Linked DNA regions of Macaca fascicularis. The protein of the gene in region 2 interacts with the protein of the main gene of each other region in a pairwise test. Links are inferred from orthologs where the notes say so. Each region holds a gene or a part of one and is shown on either strand. Other genes may lie near its edges.

What was found.
Region 1: the proteins of MKRN3 (region 2) and FAM110A interact in binary tests that used the Homo sapiens proteins (3 or more experiments, as listed by UniProt). The two-hybrid records come from large-scale screens. The link is inferred for Macaca fascicularis from reciprocal best matches to the Homo sapiens genes MKRN3 and FAM110A.

Annotation. Positions count from the first base shown.
Region 1 is NC_088384.1:86,552,361-86,556,793, reverse strand, and holds the start of FAM110A (protein FAM110A), read left to right. Parts: upstream 1-1,619; 5' UTR 1,620-1,856; intron 1,857-4,433.
Region 2 is NC_088381.1:5,355,195-5,358,839, forward strand, and holds the end of MKRN3 (E3 ubiquitin-protein ligase makorin-3), read right to left. Parts: intron 3,012-3,645; coding exon 2,913-3,011; intron 2,616-2,912; coding exon 2,612-2,615; coding exon of another isoform or gene 2,554-2,611; 3' UTR 1,272-2,553; coding exon of another isoform or gene 1,196-1,271; 3' UTR 259-1,195; downstream 1-258. UniProt on the Homo sapiens protein: E3 ubiquitin ligase catalyzing the covalent attachment of ubiquitin moieties onto substrate proteins.

The DNA of each region.
Region 1 (4,433 bases), on a different chromosome or scaffold from region 2:
CATGCCTGTAATCCTAGCAACTCAGGAGGCCAAAGCAGGAGGATCACTTGAGGCCAGGAGTTCTAGACTGGCCTGGGGCAACATAGTGACACCCGTAGCTTGACATGGTGATGCGCGCCTGTAGTCCTAGTTACTCTGGAGGCTGAGGTGGGAGGATTGCTTCAACCTAGGATACAGTGAGCTGTGGTTGCACCACTGCACTCCACCTTGGGCAACAGATCTAGACCCTGTCTCTAAAAAACATAAATAAATCAATATTTAATACTTAGCATTTCCCCCTATCTTTAAATCTCTTTTAGCTACTTCACTTTTATTTTTATTTTTTTGAGATGATCTGTTGCCCAGGTTGGGGTGCAGTGGCATGATCTCAGCTCACTGCATCCCCCACATCCCAGGTTCAATCTATTCTCCTGCCTCATCCTCCCGAGTAGCTGGGATTACAGGCTTGTAGCACCACGCCTGGGTAATTTTTGTATTTTTAGTAGAGACAAGGTTTCACTATGTTGGCCAGGCTGGTCTTCAACTCCTGACTTCAGGTGATTTGATCGCCTCAGCCTCCCAAAGTGCTGGGATTACAGGCGTGAGCCACTGCTCCTGGTGGCTGCTTCATTTTTAATGGCTGCATAATATTCCTCATCAGAAAGTGGGAATAATTAGGCTAGTCGGCGTGGCTCATGCCTGTAATTCTAGAACTTTGGAAGGCTGAGTTGGTAGGATTACTTGAGTCCAGGAGTTTAAGACCAGTCTGGGCAACATGGCAAAACCCTGTCTCTACAAAAAATACAGAAAATACCGGGTGTGGTAGTGCACACCTGTAGTCCCAGCTACTCGGGAGGCTGAGGTGGGAAGATTGCTTGACCCCAGGAGACTGAGGCTGCTGTAAGCTGAGATCCCACCACTGCACTCCAGCCAGGGTGACTCCATCTCAAAAAAAAAAAAAAAGGAAAGAAAAAAAGAAAGTGTTAATAATTAAAAGTACTTTTAGAGGGTTATGTCATAAGCCTTGACAAGAGTTGTTCTGTAAAGCTACCTGGCATGTAAAACGCTCAATTAAGTTAGTTAGCTCTTCCACAGGATGGAATTATATAACCAACCCCTTTCAAGAGGCATTTAAGTTGTTTCCATTATTTTGTCATGATGAATAAGGCTGAGCAATATTAATCTTTGCTCATATCTTTGGTCATTTCCTTTGTAAATTTCAGGACTGCTGGGTGTGCACATTTTAAAATTAACTCACTCATCATCATGCAGTTAGGAGAACAGAGAAAGGAAGGGGCTGTGCGGGGTCACATAGGGAGTTAGCGTCAAAGTCAGGACTAGGAATCAACCAGGGTCCTCTAACTGGAGCTCTTCCAGCTGGTGCCCTAGAGGAAGTCCCAGCTGCAAGCCGGAGGGAGGAGGAAGGGAAAGAACCAGGCGCCGGGTCTGAAGCGGCGGCAGGAAGAAGGTGGGGCCGGTTGGGAGGTGGGGGCGGAGCTGCTGAGCCGCGCCGCTCCTTCAGGCTGCAGAAGCTAAGCGGTCGCCTGGCAACCCCGGCGGCGCGCCGTTCGAACGGAAGCGAGGAACCAATCAGGAAGTCCGGGTCGAACCATTCTGGAGTGAAGGGGGGCGGGGTGCTCACTTCCCCTTTCTCGGCGCTCGAGGGACTTTCCCTGCGGTGGGGGCCTTCGACAGTCAGGGCCACCCGCTCAGCTCGACTGCGGAGGGCAGTTCCGAAGGGGACCCCAAAGGTGCCCACGCGGGGCTGGGGCCTCCTGGGCGCCGTTGGGAGCGGTCACTACCAGCCCGGGTCCGAGCTGTCAGCCTCTCCGAAGACTGCGCGGAAGGAGCCGGGACACGCCTAGGACGAGCTCCAGGTGAGGGCGCGGGTGGTTCCGGGTGCGACCCGGGGTCTGGGGGACTCTGTTCCCCGAGCGCCTGCTGTCTGCTTTCTCCCCGCGTCGTACCTGCGTGTCATTTCACAGATGAGGACTCTGAGGTTCAGAGAGGCAAGTGTCCTGGCTCGGCGAGCTCTGGCAGAGAATCCAGTTCAAGGCTTTCCGCCCTACCTCGCAGCCCCTAGTCTAGTCGTATCTAGACTTGCCTTGAGAGGTACAGACGGGCAACTAGTAGTCATTTTCCCAGCATTTTATCGGCAGGGACACGGCCTATGGACCCCTGGCTGGATCACCTATCCCTGCGCCCCACACTGTCCTCGGGATACCCCTTTTGGGCGTCTTTCTTCTCCGCAGTCCGGGGTTGGACTCGGCTCATTTGGCGCCCTTCTGCCTACTGGGCTCTGAACTCCAGAGCTCCCCCTCTCAGAGGACCACTCTTTAGCCATCGGATGGCACTGACATTTCTGGGCTGGATATAGGGGCAGCAGATTCTCCAGCCCCCAGAGTCGCTGCTGGCCTCTTGGGAATCTTCCCCGGTCTGGGGAAGGGAATAAAGCCAGTCCCTGAACCAAAGCCACTAGTCACCAGAGACTTTGGAATTGGGGGTGGGGCCGGGATTCCCTCAGGAGGAGCATCTGATCTAGGCCAGATCCTGCTCTGTCTCCTGGGGACACCCCTTGCCCCCTAGGTTGCTATTGTCAGTCTCCTTTTGTAGGTGGGGAAACTGAGGTTCTAAGAAGTTAAGCCTCTTGTCGAAGTCCCAGTCAGACAATGCAGTGGTTATTAGCTCCTGGTCCCTCTGGCTTCAATCTTAGAATCCTTGACACCCAGAGTCATGCATTTTGAGAGTCTTGAATCTCTTCATAAGGGAGTTACATATCTCCTCTCCTCTGGAGCCTCCCCCTGGCTTTGGGGACAGGATCTCCGAACACTCAGAAAACAAGCCTTTCCTTTATTCTTTCAACAAATATTATTGACTTCATAAGCCTTGCTCTTGTTCTTGCATGTTTTGTTTTTCTCAGTAGCATTTACTCCACCTTATGTCCTATATATTTTACTTATTAGCAAATTTATCACCTTCTCCCACTGTGATGCAAGGCAGGGGCTGAGGCAATTGAGGTCCTCACCACCAGTGCAAAATTTAGGGATGCCCTGAACCTCAGTAATCAAGATAACTGAAACTAATGTTCATGGACCATTTGTATGTTCTGCAGGCAGGAGGTTAACTCACACAGCCTTCATGAAGCACAGTCCTCCCATCTCATTCTCTCTCTCTCTCTCTATATATATGTGTGTGTGTATGTGTGTGTGTGTATATATATATGCATATTTATAAATCGTGAAACCACTGCCCTGTCCCTGACTTGCTCTGTGACATTGAGTAAGTTTCTTCAGTCTCTGGGCTGAGCTAAGAAGTCATGATGGTGCACTCAGGCCTGGGCAGAGGGCGGTCTAGGATAGGAAGCAGACTTGGTTGTGGATTACAAATACATCCCCCAGACTCAGCTGTCCCACTTCTAAGCAAAATGATGTAGATGCAGTGATGCTGCAGTGTGGTTTGTAGGCAGAAATGAGACACACTCTAAGTGGCCACCAGTAGGGGATGATGGGAAATTCTACTGTGCAGCTGGGAAAAAGGACATGCTCTTTATGTACTGATGTGGCACCAAGAACAAAACATACTATTGAGCAAAAAGAACAAGATGAAAATGGTACACATAGCATCATGACGCCATATGTGTAACAATGGAGACAGAATATATATTCATACTTGCCTGCATCTGCCTAAAGTCTCTCAGGAAGGATAAGCAACTGTCTGGTCACGATGGTGCCTGCAGGGAGGAGAAATGGGGACAGGGTGGGAGGAGGTTGTTGTTGTTTTTTTTTTTTAAACTTCACTATCTTTACCGTTTTTGAATTTTGAGTTGTGTGCATGTATCATCTATTTTAAAAATTTAAAAATTAAGGCCAGGTGCGGTGGCTCACGCCTGTAATCTCAGCACTTTGGGAGGCCAAGGCGGGTGGATCACTTGAGGTCAGGAGTTTCAGACCAGCCTGGCCAACGTGGTGAAACCTCATCTTTACTAAAAAATACAAAAATTAGCCGGATGTGGTGGCACGAGCCTATAATCCCAGCTACTTGGGAGGCTGAGGCAGGAGAATCACTTAAACCTGGGAGGTGGAGGTTGCGGTGATCCCGGTGCACTCCAGCCTGGGTGACAACAGGAAAACTCTGTCTAAAAAATAAAATTACATATATATATGTGTGTGTGTGTGTATGTATGTATGTGTGTGTGTATATATATATATATATATATATATATATATGCATGTTTATAAATCATGAGACCACTGCCCTGTCCCTGACTTGCTCTGTGACACTAAGTTTCTTCAGTCTCTGGGCTGAGCTAAGAAGTCATGATGGTGTACTCAGGCCTGGGCAGAGGGCGGTCTAGGATAGGAAGTGGGCTTGGCTATGGATCTGCCTCCCACTCACCTTTCTAATCCTGCGTGCCAGGTCCTTCCCCAAGACCTTGCATGTGTTATCTCTCTCAT
Region 2 (3,645 bases):
ATGGAGCAAGACTCCATATAAAAAAGAAAAAAAAGAGAATACTTTTTTAACAAATGATGGTGGAAAAATCGGATGTCCATATTCAAAAAGTGAACTTTCACACAGATCTCACATCTTACACAAAAAGTGACTCAAAGTGGATTATAGAACTAAATATAAAATGCAAACGGATAAAACTCTTAGAGGAAAACGGGAGAAATTTGCATGGCTTTGAGTTTGTTGATGAATTTTTAGATACTATAAAAAACACAACCCATAAAAAATTGATAAATTGGACTTTATTAAAATTGTTTTTTCCATCTGTGAAATTAACTCTTGAGGGAATGAAGAGACAAGCTTCAGCCTTGGAGTATATATTTGCACATCACGTATCTGATAAAGGACTTGCACCCAAATACACAAAGAACTCTTACAATTCAACAAATAAACACAAATAACCAAGTTCATAAGTAAGCAAAAGAATACCTTATAAAACATGTTCAAGAACCTGTGAACAGTGCACAGCGAGTCCTTGTTTTAGACTCTTTTCTTCATTGTATTATTCAGTATTTACACAGTTTGAAATATGAGTGTCTAGGAGCTGTCTTTTCTCACAAAAAAGAGGGAAGTGATCTAAAATCACGAAACTGAAGCCCGAGAGTAAGATTACACATTTTGCACACATGCATATCACTATTTTTCATTCTAAAATGAGTGTTTTTCTAGATCAGAGAAATTTTATTTAATTCCATTTTGTAGGACTCTATAGCAGAGCCTCTTCGATATGAACCTGTTTAATTTGTATAATGTCGATAATTATTTTCCATTCACAATAACAACAACAAAGACTTTTTATACTATATAGTCTTCAGCAACAAACTGCAGTCACTTGTCTCTAGCTCCAAGGTCTGTGAAGTAGAGTTTATCGGGCCATCTAGTGGCCACTACATCAAACAACAGCTTTTTGTATTTACTACTGTGAACAACTTTTACAGGCTTCACTACATTGATACTAAGTCTACAAAAGCTAAAACTAGGCCTCCCTGCAGACTGTCTATAACTGTCCTGAACATAACAGAATTCATGACCCATATGTTTTGTTAACGTAACCATTGTACTGTATCTTTGTGGTTCTGCGCGTTACACGGGGGCCCGGTGGAGCTGTGGCGTCTTAGCAGAGGGCATTAGCTGCGGAATTTTGCCCGCACACCCTGACTCAAACGACGGATGAATAAAATGTACATTTCCATACAGATATTTTGTTTTGCCAGTCCAGCTGAGTGTCCAACTGCCTGCACACCAAGAGAGGTTTGTCACTGCTGCTGGTCCGGAGCAGCTTGCACTTCAGGCATTTATTTAGTATACAATTAACAACAGAAGCTTTGAGTAAACACACTGGAGGATAATTAACATGGTTAAGAGAGTAGTTTTACGAGCTTAGGTACCATGGTTTAAAGTAAATACCATTAGGGGGCAATTTCTCTGGTTGACCTCCCCCCCATTCCCCCCACCCCCACCCCGCCAGGTACCCCGACCCCCCACGCTCCCCCCACCCCCCCCCCCGACAGAGGGCCATTTGGCTTAAAGATTAGTTAATGGAGGTACCGTAAACACACTTAACTGGGGAATCCCCTATTGTTCCTAGTATTTACCCTGTGACTTAATGCTCTAAAGTAAGAACCGGCTGCCTTTAGCCTGTTCAATTGCGACAAGTTATGTAATCTTTTGGCCTTTCAAAAGGTTTGTGATTATTTCCTATAACTTTTCCTAATATTCCCCTTTAATATTTTTGCCATCATCTTAAGTGAATCACAACATATCTTAATATAATTATTACATGAATGTATAGTCCGTATTATTTTTAGACCTGATTAATTGAATGTTTCAGTGGGATGTATCAATTTTTCCTCTTTCCATTATAATAATCTTGTTTAAGTCACTAACATGTCTTGCCTGGAAGATTATTATCTCCTAACTGGTCCCTTGTCATCCTCTCCGTATCCTTAAAATTCTTTCTCCAAAGAGTAACTCAATTAATCTTTTAAAAAAACATGTGTATCATAGTAAGATCATGGATTTTCTCTACTTAAAATGTTCCAATGAGGTTCCATCACAATTTTAATGAAATGTGAACTCTTCTTCACTGTCTATACAGTCCTATGGGATCTGGTCTCCACATTCCTCTTATAAACTTCATTTCCTACCACTCTCCCCTCCATTCACTAGAAACCAGGTATATTATTTTTTTGTCATTGTTGTGTGTTTGTTTCTTAAACACATTCTCCCAGACTTTGGGCTTTGGGTACGTTGTTTGTCTAACTGGAATAATTGGTTCCCACATACTCCCACATGAGTTGCTTCTTCTCTAAAACCATGGGTGGTTGCAGATCAAATACCATGCCCTCAAAAATGTATTCCTTCTTAGTTATTCAGAAATTAAACACCAGCTGCAATCAAAGAAACTCCCGAATCTCAGTGGCTTAGTTATACATTAATTAACCATGTACACTTCAGTATGGATAATGGGGAGTGAAGACTGAGAAGTTCTGTTCCATGAGCTATTCAAGGACTCACTTGGGCACCAATCCTTTTACGACTTGGCTGTCCTCCTGGTTCTCAGAATCCATGCCGTTCACCTGTCAGAGAAAGTAAAAGAGGGTGGAGGATTATGTCAGAGATTTTTATAAACTGTATTTGGGAGTGGAGTACTTTATTTCTACCTATATTAGCTGGAATTCAGTCGCGTGACCACAACTAACTGCAGCTATGGATGGTAAATGTAGGGCAGCTGTGTGCCCAAGGGAAAACAGGGTTTGATGCAATCACAGCATTTCCCTCTGCCACGTTAGCCCTTGTGTTTATCAAATATCCACTTTACCCTTCCTTTTAAATGTTGAACACACTCTCCCTAGAGGAGACAATCCAAAATTCACCTATGTATTGAATCCAGCTCAAAGTTCAGGATTTCAGAATTACACTCGGTCTTCTCCACCAAGTCCTGCTGTGGTTTGTCGAGGTCAGGGACCCAGGAACTAAAAAGATAAATTATGTTTCAAACAGCCAATAGGGGGGAGGCGAGAAATAACCATAGTGAAAATTCTCATTTGGAAAGGAAAAGGAGGCACTTTACCGTTATGGACTCATAGGAATTATGGAATCTTGCTGGTACTTGGTGATGTGTCTGTGAAGCAAGTGGGAATTAGTATTCCAGGGGAGCAAATATATGGCACAGAATTGTAGTTGCTACCTTTTCAGGTGAGATGGGATAGAAATGGAGTCCCTGAAATAAGAAGTATGTTTCTGTACATTTCAATGCTGAACCAAGAAAGGACACATGGCTTGATGATACATTGAAATATTTATCTGGGTTTTTCACATTTTTCCTCTCCCTCTCTCCCATGTGTACTCTGAGGATCAGCACACTTGTAGACAGGAGTCACCTACTTTGAAGGAGCAACCAGAACTCTGACTCCAAAGAGTAAAACTTGGTATCTGAAAAGACAATGAAAAGAAATATTCGGTTTCACACTTACAGAGTTAGTTTTAAAATGGCCCTAAGAGGTGAAGAGAACATGCTGATGGAAGAAAGAAAGGAATGGATAAAATTTGATCTTGAGACATGAGGATAAAGCTGAGGTTGATGATAGGATACAAATGGATGTTCTT